Nothobranchius furzeri: one gene and its partners. The protein of the gene in region 2 purifies or fractionates together with the protein of the main gene of each other region. This does not show direct contact. Links are inferred from orthologs where the notes say so. Each region holds a gene or a part of one and is shown on either strand. Other genes may lie near its edges. The genes, in order: rrs1, nifk, ddx24, rpl18a and ftsj3.

Region 1 (4,199 bases), about 26 Mb from region 2:
TAAGACCTCATTATCGGTCGCTGCTGAAGTTACATCACCTGTTTAAAGCGTCCTTTATCGGTTTAAGTTGTGTGCAAACATACTGAAGGTACAAATCCCAGCTTTGAGCTTCCATTAGTGCTACCTGCAGTCTGGACACAAAGACTTTCCGTAACTAAAAATAACGTCACAGCTTCTTAGAAAAACCTCTCTGATGCTCACTTCTAGGAAAGAGAAAATTAGAGCCGATCTAGGACAGATAAACATAAAAGCATCCTTAAAAATACACCTGAAGGCCTGCTCTGTTGTAAACCTGTGATCAGTATTATGTAGAAATAATATTTTACATGTTTGAACCAAAATGCTGATCAGCTCTATCGATCTGGTTTAATAATCATCTTAATTTTCAGTTATTTTCAACATTTACAGTAATAATCAATAACAGCAAATATTCCTACGTTGCTTTGAATGAAAAAAATGACATCACTTAAATTTATTCAGTCTGAAAGTTATATTTATCTGAAATTTTTTTCCCATTTGCTATTTTATCTGATGTTTATCGGTAAACAGATTTAGTTCTTCGTGACCCTAAAGCATTGAATTATATGAATTTTCAGTGCACTTTTAGATTACAGGTGATCCCTCGTTTATCGCGGTAAATGCATTCCAGACCTGGCCGCGATAGGTGAAAATCCGCGAAGTAGGGACACCATATTTACAGTACAGTACTATATTGAATTATCGTATGATCACATTCTCTTTTTGTGGGTAAAACTCAAGAAAAATCTTTTTTTACTTGTTTTATTACAAAAAGTGCATTTTATGATGAAAAAACAGGAATTTCTTGATATTTCGCATAGAAAAATGCCGCAAATCGGTGAAAAATACCGCGAATCGGCGAATTTCCCTTGAATAAGGCTCCGAAGAAAAAATCTGCGAAGTCGTGAATCCGCTATAAACGAACCGCGAAGTAGCGAGGGATCACTGTACTTGTTTTTCTAAATAAATGTAACTTCAAAATCTAAAATGAAACATGGACAAAATAAGGTGAAATACTATTTATTTGTAAATGTATCCATTTCATGAATTAAGGTTGAGACAAATAAACACGCAACATGACAGTGACAATTTTAGGATGAATTTGAGCCTTTTCTTCCAGGTTTATTTGAATATAAACCTAAAAAATTAAATAAACAGATTATAAAGCCATTAAAGTTTCAAATGAGGCTTTTTGAAACTATTGGTTTTCTTAAACACTTTTTCCACCTAAAAAGGTCTAAACTTTATAATTATGACAGCAAATTATTTAATCTAATGTTAATTCTCCCAAAATGCTTTGTTGCTGAACTAATACAACTCATACATTTGTAAAATTAACCATAAACAACAGATTTGTATAAATGACACCAGATTTCTTCTTGAAAGTCAAAATATTGATGTTTTAAATCTCTTATTTCAAAAACACCAACGAAAAATAAACATCAGTTACTTATCGCTGCTGTATGAAAGTGTATTTTTTAAATATTTTTTATTAAAGTTCTCATTTCTTCCCAGGTTTTCCTCTCCTCTTTCCCCCTCCTCCAGCTTTCCCAGCCTTCCCCCCTCCTCCAGCTTTCCCAGCCTTCCCCTTCCCAGTCATGTTCCCTTTCCTTCCCCTCTTCCCACCCCCCTTCCTGCGCTTGGCTGCAGCCTCCTCTTTGTCCTCCTCCCTCATCTGCTGATTCACAGCCTTGGTGATGTCCAGTCTGGGCTTCTTGCTGCCCATGGTTTTCAGCAGATCCAGCTGCTTCTGCTTCTCGCTGGAGAAGTCACCGATCAGAGGGTCAAACTTCCTCCTCTTGCCTGAGTTCTTTGGAGGTTTCTCTTTGGGCAGGTCGTCCTGGAACCTCCCAACAGATGCTGTGGAGACTTTGGCCACACTCACTGCTTTGGCCAGCTCGTTTCTGGACTGCTGAGCTTTGGGGACCAGTCCCACGCCGGGGGTTTTGACTTTCTGCGCCCTGGCGATGTTTTTCAGCCGGTTGAACTCGTTTTTAGCCACTCGCTCCTTCTTGGCTTTGACCCGTTTAGCGAACTGGTCCTCGTTGGGGTCCGCAGTCTCTGGCACCTCAATCAGCCACTCCTTGGTGTCGTCGTTAGCCCTCTTGTAGCCCCAGCGTCTCTTCCACTCCTTCGCGGTCTCATCCCAAACCAGATTGGTTTTCTTCTTCTTTTGGATGCCTTTCAGCTTGGCGAACTGCTCCCATTTGGTTGGAGGTCTAGGCTTCAGTGGGGGCTTCTCTCTCGGCAGCCGGGTGGTCGGTTCCGGTAGCTTAGCTACTATCACCTCCTCGACCCTCTCCGTGGGGAGTTTCCATATCTCGTTGATGAGAAGTTGTGTGTTGTCACGAGCTAGCGACCGCAAGAAGTCCTCCTTCTTCTGTTCTCTGAAGTCCCGCGTCTCGATGCGGTTTTTGTCACAAGCTAGCAGGTTACCGAGGTCGAAGTCCAGGTCCAGCTCCTTCTGGACGGTGATACTTTTCAGTTTTTCAGCCTCTTCTTGCTCGGCTTTGGCTAACAACTCCTCCACACTGCTCGCAGCCATTTTCTGAACGCTCAACTCCCCACGTGCGAATCCGGAAAAACAAGGCAATGTACTTCCGGGTCGTGGGCAGCAACCGGAAGTTCTCATTTTGGCCACTAGATGGCACTGCGGTCGCTGTTTTCACCAAGAGTACAAAACAGAACGAAATGAAAAGTGACGGAATAAATGTGATTCATTGTAAGCCACAACAATAACAATAACAAATATATACAGACATATGAACATGCTAATCAGCTGTGCTATCTTGCAAGTTTATGTACACACAGCAGAACATTAATTAATTAATTCATGGTGCTTAAGGACGCCAAATATAAACAAAAACTTAAAAAATGCAGATCTTTTCAATGAGATGTTCAAATTTAAATTTTTCTACTATGCATACTTTATTGTAAGCACGCTTCTATGATTTAAAACTGAGTTCAAACAAGCCTATTGCATCATTATGTTGTGTAACAAATACACACTTGCATATTAATCATTGCAGCTTGTTTACATGCATTTTTAATGCATTTAATTTGTAAGCACCTTTCAGGACTCTCAAGGTCACTTTAACAGAAACGACATGATACAGGTTAAAACACTGTTAAATTAAAAATGCAAATCAAACAGTTAAACAGATACAAGTTAAAAATGAAAACAGTAAAATGCTAAAATACTAAACTAACAATTCAAGTTAAAATTATCAACAGATAAGTCATAAATAATCAATCAATAGATCATTATCATAAAGATATTCATTGCACATTGACACATTAGTTAAAATCTACATAAAATAACAGTAGGAAGAACATAGTCAAGCAAATGTTTGCGGTTACATTAGGCATTTGAGAAAGCCTGCCTGAATAAATGAGTTTTCAGTAGTGATTTAAACTGGATGCCATGTTTACATGCATTTTAGGATGAATCTGCTTAAATTAGAGAAGACAAATGCACACGTTCCACAGCTTCAAAACATTACGTTAAATTATTATGTTAGATGTCAAGAATTAGAATAAACGGCTTACGTAAGTTTAAAATCTTTAGAAAAGGTCTCCAAGTACCATCAGCTTTTGTACACATCCCTCTAAGTTTACTTTTAGGAGTACTGTAAATAAAATCATTATGCATAATTTATGAATGCAGAAATTTAAAATGATGCAACAGATTTCTTATTCTGTGACTTCTGGCTAAAATTCTCACTTTTACGGTATATTTGCTATTGCAATTGCTGACCCCATAGAAAGTTGTCCACATTTGGCAGAATTTTGCATTTTGTTTCGAATTAAAATAAGAAAACAAAAATTTTTACCACAACTTTTTACTTTATGAATGGAACCTTCTAAAGACAACAACAACAAAATTGTGTTTAATAAACCAGAATAGTTAAATAAGTCTAATAAGATTGGATGAAATTGTAAAAATGTGTATGAAAATGACCAGTTTTAATATATTAATATACAGTGTTTAGAAAGTTCCTGCTCTCAGACTCCTGTAGTGTCTCTGGATCATTTAAAAGTTTGCAGCTGTGATAAACTTCCCTACAGGATGGCTGAACATGTTTTCATGTGAGATTAAATCCCTTGAATTATTAATACTACACCCCTTCTCATTGTTGCACTGTGTACCATTTCCCCTCACAGCTCTGGTACTTTAATAG
Region 2 (5,221 bases):
TTTTGGCCACCTGCTCTGCTGAACGCTTCCTGTTGTACCGCTTTACAGCGGGATTTGAAGGTTTTTTAAAAGTCTTTTGGGAGCCAACAAACAGCTTCTCATGTACCTTCTCGGGAGGAATCAGATGACCTGCAAATGCAAAGATGCTACAGTGAAAGTCGGGAATATGGATGGATTCCAAACGGCGTCTGAGCAAGTACTGTAAATCCTTCTTAGGTAGCAATCCTATTGAGGCACAACACTCCCGTAACTCTCAGACAAACACAGGAAAAAACTCACATTTGATGAGTTTCTCCCCCATCAGGTAATTGTTCATGGTCTCCACAACAATCTTTGCTACTTCATCACATTCAAACTCCAAAAACGCGTAGCCTTTACTTCCACCAGTCTGTAACAAAGCACACATGGATCAGTACCCAGCCCCGCTTTCAGGAGGGGAAACGTCTCCATCCCAGGCTGGTCACATCTGGAGTAAGCTTGGTTTATGCTTGACACATTCACTTTCCGCGCAGTGATGCGGCTCGCGGATGGACCGCGCTTCACAACTCGCAGCGTTTATGGTTCGTGCGGCTCGTCTCTGCGGTGAGCCAATATTCTCCCAAACTGTAGGGGGCAGCATGGAGCTCTATGGCATGCATCCAACACTACACCATAGTAGAAGTAAACATTACTGTTGTTTACAACATGGCATTCCAGCATTTTTAACAGCGTTCTCGTCTTTTCCGACAGTGCGAGCTATTTCTCTCCAAGAATTATTAACAACATGTTGATCACTGTGATCTCTGAGAGCCGAATCATACAAATGTCTGTATTTACGAACCTCTGCCATACTAGTCCTTGCCAGTCCGCCATGTTTTACCGCGTCCGACCGTCCGCGTGGTTAGAAAATTTCCTAGGTGTGCGGTGCGGAAAGTTTGGGCCGTGCGGAGGCGCGTGGTTGTTAAAATGACGCAATTTTGCCGCGCGGACCTCGCGGACACGTCAAGCATAAACCAACCTTTAGTGAATGTTGGGACATGGGTTTTATCGCTCTGCTATCAGGTCCAGCAGGCAATAAGCTTAATGCACCAGAATACTTTAGGCTCAGTTATCTGACCTCAGACCACATTTACACCCGAGACCATTTTCAGCCTGAGCCACATGTGTTGGAGCAGAGCTGCAGGGCCATTGCTGCTCTGATGATGTAAATAAAGCTATTAGTCTTCACTAAACATGGCACCGTTCAACATCACCTTCTTGCTTCTGGACAAACGAAGACGCAGGACCCTCCCAAACTGTTCAAAGTACGATTTAAGCTGCGGCTCAAATAGTCCCAAAGGCAGGTGACCGACGTAAACAACACCTGGAGTCAGACGTCCACCCTGAAAAGACAGAAAACGTTCAATTCTTTAAGAAGTCTAGAGAAACACTCATCCAGTTACATGATATAAGACTACAGACTGGCTGGAAGAACAACAGATTAATAACTTTCTAGATTGTGTTTATTAAAGTTATTATAATGTTGCTTCACTTTTTTTTATCATTTAGGTCTTTAATTACCTTCTATTACCACATGTTTATATTAATCACTAGTAACGTTTATTACCACTAGTCTAAGTTATTGTTAGCCTCCTAATTAAAGTTTTAATATAGTCCTGTGCTCTATGATTGATGGTGCATCATGTAAAACTACAGTTAAATATGGTTTAAAAACTAGTCTTATATGGTATGAAACTAGTTAAATGTTTTATAAAACTAGTCTGATATTTTATAAATCTAGTATGGTATAAAACTAGGGCTGCAGCTATTGAATATTTTTGTAATCGAGTACTCAGCCCTACATAAAACTAGTCTAATATGGTAAGAAACTAGTTAATATGGTTTAAAAGTAATTAAATGTTGTATAAAACTAGTCTAATATGGCATAAAACAAGTCTAGTATGGTATAAAACTAGTTAAATGTTTTATAAAACTAGTCTAGTATGGTATAAAATAGGGCTGCACAATATTAGGAAAACCTGCGATATTAGATAACAGTGCTTAATATTGCAATGTCGATATTACTCACGATAAATGAAAAAATACTAAAGTATGCAGTGTTGATGTCGTTTGGCGTGTGAAGTCTGCTCTGGGTTCAGAGCAAACAAAAACTAATGCATGAATTCCATTACAACATAACATTTTTATTGCAAAAATATGCAGCTGCACCTGCTACTGTATTAGCAGCTGCACCTGCTACTGTATTAGCAGCTGCACCTGCTACTGTATTAGCAGCAAAACAATAAACTGCATGCATGCAGTTTCTCAGTGACTTTAAAACATCACCTCCACCATAAAACTTTTTCTGATGCTCCAAATACAGAAAAACATCCCTTACCAGGGTTTTAGAATAAATAAAAATATCTGAAAAATGTTAAATAATAGTTAACATCATTAAATGCAACAGCAAATTCTCTCATTGCTACTGAGCATTTTCTCCACTTATGTGGTTATGATATAAGGCTGTTGCTGCTATTGGGAAGTGAACTGTGCTGGGCCAAACTGGGAGAATATTAAGATTTTCTGAGGGAAAGAGAAAAACAATTGTCTACCTTTCACAAGAGGAACTGGCAAAAAACTACATGGAAAATATGTGAAAACGTTAGTTTTTAACCCCAAATTGAACAAGTTTACCTAGATCTTAAAAAGCAGCTCAGATGATGAAACTGCAACTATGATTCTGATAACAAGCTAACAAACTGAACTAGCTCCTCTTAAGCTAACCGGCTAGCAGAGCTTCTGACTGACGGTTTATGTGCAGCAGCAAATCAACTATCCTGATTAACAAGGTTATAAAAGCTCATAAATGAAAAATCACTTTGATGTGTGGGGGAACTTTTCCAGGCCTTCTTTAGCAGGGTGGGACTGGGAGGAGAGTGCTGTAGCTGTTAGTTTAAGCTAACGTGTGCACTAGCTAAACAAGGTGGCCTTAAAAATAGTTATTAAAGAACAAAATCAAATGCGTTCAAAACCCCTAAAGAGAACCGGGTAGTTAAATCCTAGTGTAATCCAGTAACTAAATGATCAGATTTATCTCCATCAGAGCCACACTTCCATCGGAACCCACCTTCCCGGACTTCTTCTGCTTCGCCTCCTGGACTTTCTTCTTAAACTCGGACTCTTGGGCCGGATTCAGAGCCAGTAGCTCTTTTGCTCGCGCTGAGGTGGATTCTGCTTTACCTTCCGTCATTTCGCTCGTTTTTTATGACCCAAACGGAGACGTTTAAAGAGCTTTGAGGATCAATGTCGCCTTACAACACGTTGGAGCTCCGACATGTGGGTAGTCGAAGACGGAACGGAAGCGCTGGTCGTGGCGTCGTGCTGGTGTCACAGCGCTCCCCCTGCAGGCCGGGAGGCGTCATTTGGAATTCTAGGATTTCCAAGGAAGGTCTCGTCTTACTCCCTTTCTCGCCTCTGATTGTTTGGAAGGGCTCTACTGCGATTGGCTATTTCGTGTAAGAGGAAACCGTTTTCCCTCGCTGCAGGTTTTTATGTTTATAGCCAGATCTTGAGGAGTTTTTTTGAAGAAAATGTGAACTCATCGCTATAATAAACATAATTTTCTGTTTAGCAACAAATCAGGTCCAGTTTCTTTCATAAAAGAACCTGAAAAACATCAAATGTGAACTTGTAATAAATCGTGTGGCATTTTATCACACTGTAGACTGACTTTGTATCTGCTGGCTCTATTGAGGTTATCTTATTACTTCATTATTAGGCTATCCTGCTTTAATAGGTTAAGGCTGTTTACAAGTTAGAGCACATCTCTCATCATCAGATTAAATGTATATCATGTAATCAAAAATTAAGTTAAAGCTGATTATGATTTAGACCTATTTTTCACCAGTATTCATTATTCTAGAGAAGAAACAGACCGGCAGCTCAGGGCAGTTTTATTAAATGTCATACCCAGGTAAGGCATGTTTATACTCTAATGCTTAAGAGCCAAGAGAAATAAAGTAAGTCCAACAGTTTGATAAATGCAGCAAGATTTAAAATTCACATTTTATGTTTTTCAGTTTTTTATTAAACAAAATATTTCGCAAACCAGGACAAAATGTTTATTATAGCGCTAAGTTCACATTTTCTTTACTAAACTCCCCAAAACAGCTTTCTGCTGGTGGCAGAAGGACTGTTGTCAGCCCTTAGCAGGACAGCCAGTTTGCTGTTAAATGAAATAGCCAATCGTGGTAGAGCCTTTCTAGCCAATCAGAGACGAGAAAGGCGGGATCTTCCTTGGACATCCTAGAATTCCAAATGTCGCGGCCGGCAGGTGTCTCGGCAGGGTCAGTAATTTACATCATAGGTACACTTCAACTGTGAGAGACAGAATGTGAAAAAAAAATCCATAAATTCACATGGCAGGATTTTTAAAGAATTTATTTGTAAATCGGGGTGGAAAATGAGTATTTAGTCACTTCAAACAAGGAAAATCTCTGGCTCTCACAGACCTGTAACGTCTTTAAGAAGCTTTTCTGTCCTCCACTCGTTACCTGTATTAATGGCACCTGTTTGAACTCATTATCTGTATAAAAGACACCTGTCCACAGCCTCAAACAGTCAGACTCCAAACTCCACTATGGCCAAGACCAAAGAGCTTTCGAAGGACACCAGGAAAAGAATTGTAGACCTGCACCAGACTGGGAAGAGTGAATCTACAATAGGCAAGCAGCTTGGTGTGAAAAAATCAACTGTGGAGCAATTATCAGAAAATGGAAGACATACAAGACCACTGATAATCTCCCTCGATCTGGGGCTCCACGCAGGATCTCATCCCGTGGGGTCAAAATGATACATGAGAACGGTGAGCAAGAATCCCAGAACCACACGGGGGGACCTGGTGAATGACCTGCAGAGAGCTGGGACCACAGTAACAAAGGTCACCATCAGTGACACACTACAACGGCAGGGAATCAAATCCTGCAGTGGCAGACGTGTTCCGCTGCTGAAGCCAGTGCATGTCCAGGCCCATCTGAAGTTTGCCAGAGAGCACATGGATGATACAGCAGAGGATTGGGAGAATGTCATGTGGTCAGATGAAACCAAAGTAGAACTTTTTTGGTATTAACTCAACTCGTCGTGTTTGGAGGAAGAAGAATACTGAGTTGCATCCCAAGAACACCATAACTACTGTGAAGCATGGGGGTGGGAACATCATGCTTTGGGGCTGTTTTTCTGCTAAGGGGACAGGACGACTGATCCG
Region 3 (5,112 bases), on a different chromosome or scaffold from region 2:
ATGTTATCTACGTCTAGACAAAGCAGCAACAATTTACAACTTTTACACAAAACACCCATTAATGGTAGGTAAAGGTCTTTAGGTTTGACCTGGTAGTGAATAACATGTTGAACATCGGGGATGTCCAGGCCTCTGGCCGCCACATCAGTCGTCAAGAGAACACAGCTGCGAAGGCAAAAAGTAAAAAGCCAGATTCAGGAAGGTGCATCTTTAAAGGTAATGCTCATCATTTCAGAAGTTAATTATTGTTTTTGTGAGTTTATATTATTGGAATTATTTTATTTAACTGAAAAGTTTTTATAAAAATCATGTTTCAGTAACAACAAGAACACACAAAATCATAAGTTACAGTGATCCCTCGCTACTTCGCGGTTCGTTTATCACAGATTCACGACTTCGCGGATTTTTTCTTTGGAGGCTTATTCAAGGGAAATTCGCAGATTCGTGGCATTTTTCACCGATTCGCGGTATTTTTCTATGTGAAATATCAAATTCCTGTTTTTTTTCATCAATATCATCATAAAATGCACTTTTTGTAATAAAACTATAAAAAAAAAACAAGTAAAAAAATTTTCTCTTGAGTTTTACCCACAAAAAGAGAATGTGCTGTACTGTAAATATGGTGTCCCTACTTCGCGGATTTTCACCTGTCGCGGCCAGGTCTGGAACGCATCTACAGCGATAAACGAGGGATCACTGTACACACAAGTAAGCGCACTGCTTACTTTTCCCCCTCGGCAAACCTTTCCAGGTTTTTGAGGCGCTGTTTCTGGTGCATGTTGCCGTGTAGAGGCAGCGGAGAACAATCCAAGATCGCCAGCAGAGAGGTGAGTCTCTTGATGCAGTCAATGCTGTTTGCAAACACCATGGTGCGTCCAGGATGACAAAGCAGGAAGTAATACAAGTAGAAGTCCTTCTCGTCCTTCTGACAGTGGATCCGTGTTTCCGTCAGCGTCTCAACCGTGGCCTCCTTCCTGGTGAGGTCAACGATTTTGGGTTTAGACTTAATCCCCACCTTCTCCATGAGAATTTCCAGTTTGCTCCTGGAGTCCAGACTCCTTTTCTTCTTCTGCAGGAGGCGGCTGGGCAGGCTGTGTGCCATCATCAGAGTAGCAGAGAAGACAAATGTTTGTCTCGTAGGGTTGCTGTGAGTCGTGTTCAGCATCTCCAGCAGACTCTCCAGCTCTGCAAAGTGACCTCTCTCGACCATGCGGTCGGCTTCATCGATGACCAGACACCTGCAGCACCAGAGCCAGACAGGTGCCAAAAGAAGCATGCATGTAATTAAACTAATAATGCTGAGTTTCTATGTTTCTGACAAAAGATGCAGTTGGTATGGATCTATAGTTTATTGCTTTGTGATTTGTGGATGCTTGCTATCATATTTTTCATATTGGGATATGAGTTTTATGAATCAGATGCTGAAGGGATTTGAACTGTGACGTACTTGAGCTGTCTGAGGTTGAGCAGGTGAGGATGTTGCTCCTTAATTAAGTCCCACAGACGTCCCGGAGTGGCAATGAGGATTTCGGGCCTGCGCTTCAGCATCCGTCGTTGTTTCGGCTGAGACATTCCTCCTACAACGACCGCCGTTTTGATATCTGCAGCACAGAAACACCAACAAAAGTGTAAAAGGAGATACATCCCGCGGCGGATCAACACTTCTGTGTAATAAAAGCTCACCTGTAAATTTGGTGATAGCGTCAATGTGATGTTTGACCTGAACAGCCAGCTCCCTGGTGGGAGTGAGAACCAGCCCAAGGAGAGGACGACTCCGACCGTCAGCTTTCTCCTCAAAATCAAACTCCACTTTGTCGATCACTTTAACACACCCAAGCTGCTCATTCTCATCGCCATCCTCGGCATCTTCTTCATCAGAGGCTTCTAGAGTCTGATCTAAATCACCTTCCTCTGAATCTTCATCACTGTCCTGGTTGGGTAATTCTGTGGGAACATCATCTGACGGTAAACGCAAGCTCTCCGCCGTTGAGGCCGGTCCAGTGTCCTCAGTTGTTCTCTTTGCGCCGCTTTTCCACTCCAGGATGGTGTGGATCATGGGAATCCCAAAAGCCAAAGTCTTACCACTTCCTAAAATTGTACACAAGCAAGGTGAGCCAATAATCTTAATGACTGTTTAAAAGATGAAAGTTGAAGTGACCTTACCAGTCTCAGCTGCTCCCAGTATGTCCATCCGATCTCTGATAGCTGGTGGCAACGCCAGGGCCTGAATTGGTGTGGGTGAGCTGAATCCCAGACTGCTCAGTGCCTTCAGAACCAGGGGTGGCACAAACAGATCCTTCCACGCACTCACATCAGACTTTTTGTCATCAGAACCAGACAGTGCTGCATTTGCCCAGTTCTGAGTCTTTCTCTTAAGAGGCTTTCCAGATTTATTATGACTGGATTTTTCTGGTAAACGTTCCAAGTCTATTTGTTCATCTGCAACCACATCCTGAACCCTCTGCTGCTTTACTTTCTTCTTCTTCTTCTTCTTCCTTTTTTTGGTACCAGCTGATGTATTTTCTAATACTTCTGCTGTTTTTTCTTCATGTGCTGCATTATTTCCTCCTCCGTCTTCACCAGCAGATTTATCCTCTTTTGACACAGCTTTATTATGATCATCTGATGTTTTAGCAGCTCCTTTCTTGTTTTTTCTCTTTTTTGCTTTTTTCTTGACAGGTTCAGTTGTGTTTTCTGCCTCTTTGCTCTCCACCTTCCCTGTCTCCTCAGCTTTTCTTTTCTTTGCCTTCTTTGTTTTCAGCTCTTTAGCAGCTCTGGCTGCAGCCTTCTCGCTGTCTACCAGGCGGTAATCTGTCAGCTCTTCGAAGCACACCAGATCCTCCAGGCCCTTCTCCACAATTAGACTGGGATCCAGCTCCACGGCTTTCCACTCGCCTCTCGTATCGATGCTCCACTTCACTGCCTTCTTCTTCTTTCCAGAGGAAACACGTTTGTTTTTAGGTTTCATCTTCTGTACTTTCGTGTTCCTGTAAACAACTGTCTCGAATAAAGATTCAGTTACTGCTAAAATGTGACTTTCCCCACGCTGTGTGTCGCGCCTTTGTGACGAAACTGCAACGACAATTACAAAAACATGTAAATTAGTTGTAAAATGTTTAAATTAAGCTACATCAGTCATAAAGGGAAACAAATACCTGGTTTAAAAGCAAGTTGCTTATAAAAGATGTTTTTGATCTACATCCACGCATCGAACAAGTACGCCGCCATGACAGTGCGTCACGTGGTTTGTAAAAACTTTATTTGTCAAACAACGGAAGACAAATCCCAAAATCAAAACTTTCCAGATTAGCCTAATGAAACCTATTATTTCAGTTTTTATTATTACATCAGGGTTCTGGGTGTTTCTCAGTAAAAATGTACAATCGTGAGAACATTTATATTACGTTTTGCTGTAAAAAGTAGTAATATGCACAACTCAAAAGTACATAATAGTTGAGGCTATAGTTTTCTTTTGTATATTTGCTCGTCTTAAAATCATTTTTGTTTTGGGATTTCATTTACTGTTGAGGTTTTACGATGTTTTTTATTCAAATAAATATTTTGGACAATGCTTCTAGTCACACTAACATTGTATTTTTGTTGTATGGGCCAGACAACAATCTAAGGTTTAACTTAAAAAGCCCTCTCAGGTGTCTGGTGACCATCCTTAACCATCACATAGAAAATAAAACTGACAAGAGCAAATAGCCAGTGTTAGATTAGCCAAGAACAGGTCCTAAAATTAGAATATCATGACAAAGTTGATTTCTTTTTGTAATTCCATTCAAAAAGGGATACTTTTATAGTAGATTAATTCATTAAACACAAACTGATATATTTCAAATGTTTATTTCTTTAATTTTGATGATTGTAACTGACAACTAGGAAAATCCCAAATTCAGTTTCTCAGAACATTAGATTATTGTGAAAAGAGCCAATATTGGAGACTCCTGCCACACTCTAATCAGCTAATTAACTCAAAACACCAGCAAATGCCTTTAAATGGTTTGTCACCCCGGCTTTCCACCAGCCATGAAAGTGGTCGCGTAATGTAAAAGAGGCATTTTACCCATTTATGTCGATGATTTTACCCCGCAAGCCCCTGGAGCAATGATGCAAAATGGGAGTTAAAGTCTTCCACACAGCTGATCCCGTGACGTTACAAAATCACGGAAGAATTGTAACACCACCCGTGATTTCAGAACTCCACACACAATAAGCAAGCAGAAAGGTAGCTGCATTACTCACAAAAGGTCTGGTTTATTTTCTCTTGTTTACATCTGCTCTGGGGGTTATAGCAGGAAATGACATACGTTTACCTGCATGTTACTTTAATTTTGAAAGTTTCTACACTGCTTTGCATATGACTTCCTGTCTGGTGCGATCTAAACTGCACAGTTGGGCATGTTTTGGAAGTTTAGCACGTAAAAAACATACTCAAAACGTAACGATAGCATGCCCTCGCTTCAAAACGTCACGGTAGTGGAAAGGAACTCATCCACGATAACGGCAGCCAATTCTGGCATCCTTCATTTTGCGACACTTTCACGTGCAGTGGAAAGAAGGGGTCAGCCCAGTTCTGTAGGCTACACAATCATGGGGAAGACTGCTAACTTACCTGTCCAAAATATGACCATTACACCTTGCACAAGGAGGGCAAGACACAAAAGGTCATTGCTAAAGTTGAGGGTGTTTAGGTTGCCATGTCAAATGACAGCAAAACACTGTCAAGTCCTGCTTTTTCCAACTCCGCCGCATCACACGTCTTAAATCAATCCTCAAACAGATGTATACAAGACATGGGTCTTTGTGTCAAGCTACTCTTGAACAAGAATGTCAGAAGCATCTCACCTGGGCTAAAGACCAAGAGGGCTGGACTGCTGCTGACTGGTCCAATGTTATGTTCTGACTAAAGTTAATTTTGCATTTTCTTTGGAAATCAAGATCCCAGAGTCTGGAGGAAGAGAAGCACAGAATCCAGTTTAAAGTTTCCAGTTAATGGTTTCAGGTGCCATGTCATCTGCCGGTTTTTGCCCGTTGTATTTTGAGGTCCAAGGTCAACGCAGCCATCAGGAAGTTTAATTTTTTTGGCAGTCGCTTTTGTCCAAAGCG
Region 4 (4,900 bases), on a different chromosome or scaffold from region 2:
AGTTAATTTATTAATGAACAGGACGGTGACGGGGACTTTTCTTCTGCTTCTAGAGTTTAGAGGTTCTTCGTTTCATGAACATCGGGTTTTCCTGAACCCACTTGATCGTGAGCCTGCTACCTGCTAGCGTTAGCTAATCTGCTTGTAGTTACACTTTTGGCACTAAACTCTGGACTGTTTCTGCTTCTGCGTCTTCGCTGGTTTCGGTTTTCCTCCACAGCCCCTAGATTAGCTCAGTGTGCACCGGTGAAACACACCAATTACACGAGCGACATAGATGTGCCTCGGTCTGATCTGCTGCCGCATCAGATGAGCAGTGACGGTTACTTAAAGGTTGCACAACACAACGAATTGATAACGAATGGATTTGTTGTTGCAGCCCTAGCCCAGGTTCACGTTTCTTCCATCTTTGACCCGTTTGCCCTGGAACACAAACACCTAACGGCTCGGCTGGACCGGTACTCACAGCACTGGGTGACGGCTCCAGACGTGCTCAGGTCCCGGTACTCTCTGTACATGTTGTGGGTTCCGCTCCGAGAGTCGTAACGCAACCAGATACCAAAGTTTTTCACCTTCAGGGGCGTCTTCTCGTGGACCTGAGGACAGAGGGGGTTATGAACGGATCAGCCAGGCTCAGCTTCATGAGAACCAAACGTCGCTTCTTCTGACAGCTGATCTACGATGGGATGTGGACGGGACTCTGACTCAGATCTTTTTACTGAAAATGTTCTGATTCATTTCACCCACCAGGCCACAGTAGACAATCTCGCCTGAAGCCTTCTTCATCTTCCTCAGCTGCGAGACAAAGTACCAGAAACGGGACTTTGCCACCACGTGGTTTGGAGCAAAGATCCTCATGCGGTAAAGAGGAGGGGCGGGGTTCTTGGGCGAGGGCAGCAGACGCCCGATGACTTTATACTCCCGAAGCTGCAGAAAGAACCAGAACATGTCAGAACTTCACATCATAGAAGCCTGAAACCATCAAAGCATGTTGGACCTTGAATTCACTTTCAAAGGCACCGCAGCATCAGAGAAAGGCGACAAGGACCATTTCCTGTTTGCACACCAGACAAAATCACGCCACTGACCACGGCGTGACCTTTGGGTTTGGGTGCAGACACAAACAAGACAAGACAAGGGTGCATCAGTAAGACACGGCTTTGTGCGACCAGAACTCCTCCTTCTCAGGTTTGAGCCCATCTGAAACCTTTCTCCACCTGGTTCCGGTCAAAGAACAGGAAACACTTAGGATCTGGAAATAAACCAACTTCTAAATAAAACCAGCTGAGTTTTTAACTCAACAACAACGATGTATGAGGAACCTTCTGGAGGTATAGCGAAGTCCTGGATAAAGTTACTTAAAAGACCGACAACAGTATGTACAAATTAAAGATATAAAATCTGGATTTAGAGAAATAAGTTGTGGAGTTCCACAAGGTTCAGTAATAGGTCCTATATTATTTACTTTATATATAAATGACATATGTAACGTGACAGATTTTTTCAAATTCATGTTTGCAGATGATACAAATTTAGTTTGTTCAGGTAAAGATGTTAAAGAACTTTTAAAGAAGGCCGAAAAAGAGTTAAATATCCTCAAATCTTGGTTTGATGTAAATAAACTATCAATGAATATAAAAAAGACTAAATTTATGATTTTTGGAAATAAGAAGGTAAAAAATTGGGACTTTAAATTAACAATTTCAGATACTGAAATTGAAAGAGTGTCTGAAATAAAATTTCTTGGTGTTGTGATTGACTCTAACTTATCCTGGAAGCATCATTTAAATTATATAAAAGGAAAAATTGCCAAATCTTTGGGTCTATTATATAAGCTGAAGGACATACTAAACCATAAGGCCTTACGTCTAATATACTGTTCGCTAATACAACCATACATGGCATATTGTATAGAAATATGGGGTTCAACTTTTAAAACATATATACATGAAATAAAAACTATACAAAAGAAATCTATTCGACTTATGAACAAGAGCAATTATTATGCTCATACTGGCCCGTTGTTTTTAAAATCACAGATTATGAAACTAGAAGATCTATATTATTATAAAATAATGCAATTTATGTTTAGAGTAAAATTAACGGCTCTGCCAGAAAATATACTAATGTTTTTTGCAAAGAGGGAAAGTAAATATGATTTAAGAGGTGTATGTATGTTTGTTCTTAAAAAAGCCAAAAAGGGCATGAAAAGTAGATGTATCTCTGTAATGGGGGTAAAATTTTGGAATGAGGCTAAAATAGAATTAAAATTAGCAACTTCTCTTTCAGTTCTTAAAAAACTTATCAGTAAAAATATTTTTGAAGAGTATTAATTTGATGTTGATGGATGGATTTGTGTTTTACTTTTATTTGGGTAGTTGGTTCATTGCGGGAAATTGAAAAATTGTTTTGTAAGTAGGTTAGGCAATTCTATAAGCTATTGCTTCTGCCTAAACCTGTTCATGAGATACCAAATAGACACCATTTACAACATAACATGTATATGTTAGTGAGAAATGGTATTTGTATGACATGTTATTGTATATTATCTTAAGATGACTGACTGAATAAATTGATCATTCATTCATTCATGCTGCTCAGATGTCCAGAACCATCACAGGGTTTTACTGGTCCCAGTTAAAGGCATCATCTCTGCTAAGGTTCTGGTCCAAAACCCAGTTAGTCAGAATGAACGTTTTAAACCGGCTGAATGTTAGTTTTTCTTTTACTTTGAGACTCGCTCTGCTCCTCAACTCATTTCTGAAACGTTTTACTTTTATTGTTTTGATGCATTTAGAATAAAACCAACACCGATGGTTTTCAGCCTAACAGACCTCCGCTAAAGAGCCTCCGAATGACCCGGACCCCCGTCTTAAACTGGACATATGCTCTAAATGTGACTAAAGTGTGAAGGTCGAGTAAAACACCGATCAGTAAAGCCACTACAACTGGAGCTGAGACCGTGTCCGACGCTTTTAACCACCGAACGTGTAAAACGCGTCCACATGGTGCCGCCGCCATGTTAGAGCCGAACAGGCGCAGCGCGAAAACCTCAATATTTTGTGCTTAAGCGCACTTTTACCACATGCTAGCTCAGTAATGCAGTTACATGTATGTAACACGGTTATATCGTCTTTTATAGAGCGCGTATGAAGGCTAAAACGACTAAATAAGAGTCTGAACGTACGGTTCCGGAGGCCTTCATGGTGTCTCCCGATCACTGCCACAGTCAAAGAGGAGGGAAGAAGGTAGCGACTGCGCATGTCAGTAGCACTAGGACAGCCTTTTTATGCAAATTTAGTCACATATGATTTGTAAAACACACATGATTGGTCAATGATTGATGATTTTTTTCTCCATAACTTTATTTAAATCATGTAGATAGACAATATCAATTTTTTTGTTCTTTTCTAACAAAGTTTTAGTAAAAACGTTTTTACGACATGTTTTAGCTAGTATCTCTAGCCCAAAGCCTAAAGGGTTAGGGTTTATCACAAAAGGTCTGCTCTAGCCGTCATCAGCGATCTCCGGTGTTGGTGACGCCACTTCCTTTTATCCTTTTTTTTACAACAAACTTTATTAGTGAAATTGGGGATCTTACATAGCAACGAAGTAAAGCACAACAATACAAGCAAACAAACAAAGGGGCCAAAGTGATAAAACAGTGTTCAAAGGATAAGAATACAGAGCACAATCAGGTACTACAAGGAATAGAGAGGGAGAAAATGTGTTACCAGTTGTACAAGTCGTATTCTTCAAGTAGGTTCCAAGTTTTTATAGCTTTTAAATTTCCTGAGTTTTTAATAGAATCAGCATATTTTTTAATTTCACAGAGGAAGACAGGTAAAAAAGGATTAACATGGGTATATTTACACTTATGAATATAGTATTTAGCTAAAATAAAAATTAGGTTCAGTATGTAGATTCTATTACTCTCTTTGCCTTCAAAAAATCCAAAAATAACATGTTTCAAACAGAAGGAGACATCAGGAAGAACCTTTTGCTGCAGAAGATCTAAGACATCAGACCAGAATTTAGAAGTATTTGTACAGGTCCAGAATAGGTGAGTAATTGTTTCAGGATGACTGTTACAGAAAGAACAGCAGGTGTCAATGTCATTTTTAAATCTTTGGGAAATAAAATGTTTAACAGGGTAACAGTTATGTAATATTTTAAAAGAAACCTCTCTAATTTCATTAGTTAAAATATATCTGTGGGGTAAAAGCCAAGTTTTATTCCATGGAATATTATTTACAGTAGAGTTCCAAAATGAAATAATATAGGGAGAGGAGATGGAAAGCTGTTGAAAAAGACCTCTGGTAGATTTATTGCATGATTTCTTTGGAGAAAAGCAAATTTTACCAACGTATGTTTGAGCGAGGTCAGTATAAGTCACCAAACCATCCAAAAAAGAGGATCCTGTTAGCAGCATTTTGATACCAGACGGTATTGCATTCATCACAATCGTGAACTCCCTAGGAGAAACCACTACAGGATACTTTTCTGTAAATTCAAAGTGTTCCTTTTATCCTTTTAGCTATTCCTTTTTACCCAAAGGACAAGATATCAGCAGGTAAATAATGTGGAGTCATACATAAAATCCCAGGACAGCTCAGCAATAAAACTTTCATAAGAGAAACCGGACGCCAACTCAACACACAAGAGCAGAAAGTACAATAAAGAAATCAGCCGTAACACCACTGCACGAGGGAAAACCACCAAACAGACTGGGACAGAACACGGATCATAAACACAGAACAACAAAAATACAAAGAAGCGACTGAAATAAGGAGACGTGGACACTCAACGATGAACAGAGATGATGGAGTATTCTAAGTGGATCCCTCATGGGACAGTGTCATCAGCAAGGACTCGGGCAGTTGAAGCAGCATCTTCCTCT
Region 5 (3,283 bases), on a different chromosome or scaffold from region 2:
TGCATCCAGAATTCTTGCTTTCTTACCTGAATTAAACAGGAAACACAACCATTGTTATTTGCACAACATTAAAACCAAAGGAGCGTTCAGTGTTGGGACTAATTACTTATTAAAGTGACAAAGAAGCTTCCTATCCCATTTAAAGCATGTTAGCCTGTTAAGAGAAGGAAGAGTGAACTAAATGACCTAAATTAAAGTCAAATGTAAACCAGAGTGAGCAGTGTGATACTCACTGGTACTTTCCACAGGAACAACCTGAAATCCGTCCTCGTCAGCTTCTCCTGATGCAGCATTAGCTCCCTTTCCTGGCTTCATACTGGCAATTTCCCTGAAGATGGACCAGTCTGTTCAGTTGTAATTCATTTTATCTGATTTCCAGGGTTTATGATTTAAAATTAATTTCCCTTCTATACATTATTTACACGTTTGAGATAAAAAAACAGAGTCAGAGAAAGCAAAGTTTTACTTCTCATCGTCGCTGCTATCGTCTGAGTCGCTGTCACTTTCCTCCACAGCTTCCTGTGACGGTCCTGCTTTTGTCTCATCTGGAGGAGCAGCTTCCTCCCTTTTCTCTTCTCCAGTCGCTTTTTCTTCTTCCTCAAATTTCCTTTTTTTGCCTTTTCCTAGAAAACATTCAAATATATTAGTTTTGCCAGACACAGAGTCAAGCTAACAACTGACCTTTAAAAATATAGCTCGTCTAATAATGAATGAATATATAAATATGAAAAAGGGCGAGGGAGCCCGTTACCTGACTGTTTGCTCTGGAGCAGTTCGGTCTGTTTCAGCTCACTCTCTGCATCTCCCTCCAGGTCAATTTCAGAAAAGATGCCCTAAAAAGCAAATGACTAATTACTAAAACATATTTATGCATAGGCAGTCATGCTTTTTTTTATGAGATGAGTCACTTTCCTGCAGTTTTGCTCAAAAACAACAATCTCTCTGTGCTGTTTTCTCCCAAAAACAGAACTAGTCTCCACAGGCTGAAATACTAAGAAAATAGGAGGTTGGGCCATATGTAAAACTTTCCAACCTACATACAAATGACAAATGGTAGCAACCTGACACACAGGGATCCATCTTTCAGTTTGTTGAAGCAGACCACGAGGGTTCCATTGTTTTCTGATTTTCATTGATTTGGTGCGTCAATCAACAACATACCGCATCGCTATAGGCTCAAGCTATACATGTAACAAAAGAGGGCGGTGCCTTTGAACTGTCAGCCAGTAGTTGAAGATTGTACCCCCAGCTGGAGGGGTCACCTGTTGGATCAGGTAGCCGTTTAACGTTAATATGAAGATGCTAGCGTAAGTTGTGGTAGGAAACTCATCTGAAAAGAACTTTGAAGGTTTTCAGCAGTCAGTTGTGTTGGATAATGCACGTAAGACTTGTTGTGGAATAAATGTTTTATTGGAGGACATTAATTGGACCCTTGTAAAAGAGTCTGTTCCAGATGTCACTCTTCTGTCAATGATGTGAGACTTTGACTGGTGAGTTGGACATTATTTTAAATTTCCAAGTGGCTTTACCAAAGTGTTTACAGTTATTTTATCCCTGCTTGCATTTATGACCGTGATCATAGCTTTCTAAGGATCAATAATATCTAAAGTGTCCCACCCGATCAGCAAGATCCCGTAATTATTGGGTTACAGGTGTTGTGCTGTAAAGAGCATGCCTGCGGAAATTAGCATCTGTTTTGGGAAGGCGCATATGAGTAAGGAAGCAGCTTTTTAATAAATTCATACTTTTAACATGTTTCTTATCTGCGTGGCTCCTTACAAATTGATGGTTTATGGGCAGATAAATGAAATAAATCATGGTTATAACATGTTTTATTTGAAGTTATAATAACTCTTTAAAAGGTTTGTCCTTTCAGTCACACAGCTGTTTTTTTCTAAACCAACAGCAAAATAGCTTAATAAGCCGGCACAAAATGCAATATAAAAATACTCAGTAACATATTGTCTCAGACGTGTTCAGACGAAAAAAGTCAAAAACATTTACTGTTTATTCATTATTTAATTATATTTCTAGTTAAAACCAAAACCTTTAAAGGAGAAACCCAGATCAGCAACTTGTTAACATTCTGAATCTATTAAAAATAGCCTCATCGTTCATACTTCTAATAGTTTACTTCTGCAATATGCAGTTGTTTCAACAGGGGGTGCAAATTTTGACAAGCAGGCTTTTTTTTTGACACAACACCTGTTAAAACTCAGGCTCCTTCAGTCTCAGTTGTTGTGTCCCTGGCCGAAACACCCCACCGTCCTTATCTGCCGGTGGTCCCAGGGCAGCCGTGGCTACAATAGCTCATCAACATCAGTGTGCCTAACTGTGCAGTAAAACACTTTGGGGTCCCTGACTTTGAAATGCAATAACAAGTGCTATTATATTATTATTATTATTATTATTATCATCGTCATTGTTACACGCTGCTGAAGAGCTCAGCCTATCGTTGATGGGAAACAAACCTTGCTAAACCACAGATTGGTCTGCTGCTCCTTTTTCTCCTCTTTTCCCTCCAGTTCCACCAGCAGCCCACCCTCCTGATCCTCGTCTTCTTGCTCTTCCTCCTCAAACTTTACTCTGTAAGTACAAAAAAAAAAAGAAGTGACTTTTCTGTGCAAGTAAAACGTTTTTATGCAGAAAAAAAACTATTACTTTTTGGATGCTTTCTTTTCCAGCACTTTCTGTCTTTGTTCCACTTCTTCCAAATCATCTTCATCTAAGTCAGATGCCAGAGACATTTTATCTGCTCCATCCTCCTCCTCCTCATCTGAAACGTGAATGTCATCTTCTCCATCTACCATGTTGTCTGCCGCCTGCATGTCCCCTTTAGTGATATCAGCCAGCACCTGACAGACAACGGAGACAACAAAAAGGCTTTAAATTAGAATGAAACATGCAGACCAACAGATGAAAGCAGTTGTCACAAAAAAACAATAGCTGTTGTGACTCTGCATCTTCTGTTTGGTTTAACCTTTGACTTCTTCATGGATGATAGTGAAAACAAGGATGGGTCTGAGGTGCTGGCAATGGAGACACCAGGCAGGTCCATCTTCAGCTCTACTCTCTCCCTCTGCTTCCTCCTCTCCTTCAACAGCTTCTTCTTCTTCCTGATAGAGCATCAAAATCCATGCAAACTATAGAAAACGAGCAACAGCAATAAAGGTAAAAATGCATTTAGATCAAATTTGAAGAAAATATCCAACCGTTTGAGTTCAGCCACTTCTTGAGTTTTCAGCTGGGCTAGTTTTTTCTCCATTTCTTCCTCCTCATCATC

What was found.
Region 1: the proteins of nifk (region 2) and rrs1 purify together in Homo sapiens (affinity purification with mass spectrometry; 3 studies listed by BioGRID and IntAct, counting the BioPlex papers as one, with this or other methods). This does not show direct contact. The link is inferred for Nothobranchius furzeri from reciprocal best matches to the Homo sapiens genes NIFK and RRS1.
Region 3: the proteins of nifk (region 2) and ddx24 purify together in Homo sapiens (affinity purification with mass spectrometry; 3 studies listed by BioGRID and IntAct, counting the BioPlex papers as one, with this or other methods). This does not show direct contact. The link is inferred for Nothobranchius furzeri from reciprocal best matches to the Homo sapiens genes NIFK and DDX24.
Region 4: the proteins of nifk (region 2) and rpl18a fractionate together in Homo sapiens (co-fractionation; 3 studies listed by BioGRID and IntAct, with this or other methods). This does not show direct contact. The link is inferred for Nothobranchius furzeri from reciprocal best matches to the Homo sapiens genes NIFK and RPL18A.
Region 5: the proteins of nifk (region 2) and ftsj3 fractionate together in Homo sapiens (co-fractionation; 3 studies listed by BioGRID, with this or other methods). This does not show direct contact. The link is inferred for Nothobranchius furzeri from reciprocal best matches to the Homo sapiens genes NIFK and FTSJ3.

What each region holds. Positions count from the first base shown.
Region 1 is NC_091747.1:51,664,485-51,668,683, reverse strand, and holds rrs1 (ribosome biogenesis regulatory protein homolog), read right to left. Parts: upstream 2,612-4,199; 5' UTR 2,564-2,611; coding exon 1,520-2,563; 3' UTR 1,023-1,519; downstream 1-1,022. UniProt on the Homo sapiens protein: Involved in ribosomal large subunit assembly. May regulate the localization of the 5S RNP/5S ribonucleoprotein particle to the nucleolus.
Region 2 is NC_091747.1:25,624,185-25,629,405, forward strand, and holds the start of nifk (MKI67 FHA domain-interacting nucleolar phosphoprotein), read right to left. Parts: upstream 3,376-5,221; 5' UTR 3,209-3,375; coding exon 3,086-3,208; intron 1,362-3,085; coding exon 1,233-1,361; intron 1,136-1,232; exon of another isoform or gene 1,005-1,135; intron 389-1,004; coding exon 280-388; intron 130-279; coding exon 1-129.
Region 3 is NC_091758.1:31,646,354-31,651,465, forward strand, and holds the start of ddx24 (ATP-dependent RNA helicase DDX24), read right to left. Parts: upstream 3,264-5,112; 5' UTR 3,156-3,263; intron 3,073-3,155; 5' UTR 2,969-3,072; coding exon 2,164-2,968; intron 2,089-2,163; coding exon 1,684-2,088; intron 1,602-1,683; coding exon 1,448-1,601; intron 1,239-1,447; coding exon 726-1,238; intron 166-725; coding exon 90-165; intron 1-89. UniProt on the Homo sapiens protein: ATP-dependent RNA helicase that plays a role in various aspects of RNA metabolism including pre-mRNA splicing and is thereby involved in different biological processes such as cell cycle regulation or innate immunity.
Region 4 is NC_091741.1:33,470,547-33,475,446, forward strand, and holds the start of rpl18a (large ribosomal subunit protein eL20), read right to left. Parts: upstream 3,294-4,900; 5' UTR 3,206-3,293; coding exon 3,188-3,205; intron 1,119-3,187; exon of another isoform or gene 987-1,118; intron 928-986; coding exon 748-927; intron 597-747; coding exon 467-596; intron 1-466.
Region 5 is NC_091748.1:59,325,980-59,329,262, reverse strand, and holds part of ftsj3 (pre-rRNA 2'-O-ribose RNA methyltransferase FTSJ3), read right to left. Parts: coding exon 3,213-3,283; intron 3,117-3,212; coding exon 2,981-3,116; intron 2,856-2,980; coding exon 2,662-2,855; intron 2,587-2,661; coding exon 2,472-2,586; intron 834-2,471; coding exon 752-833; intron 624-751; coding exon 467-623; intron 329-466; coding exon 234-328; intron 27-233; coding exon 1-26.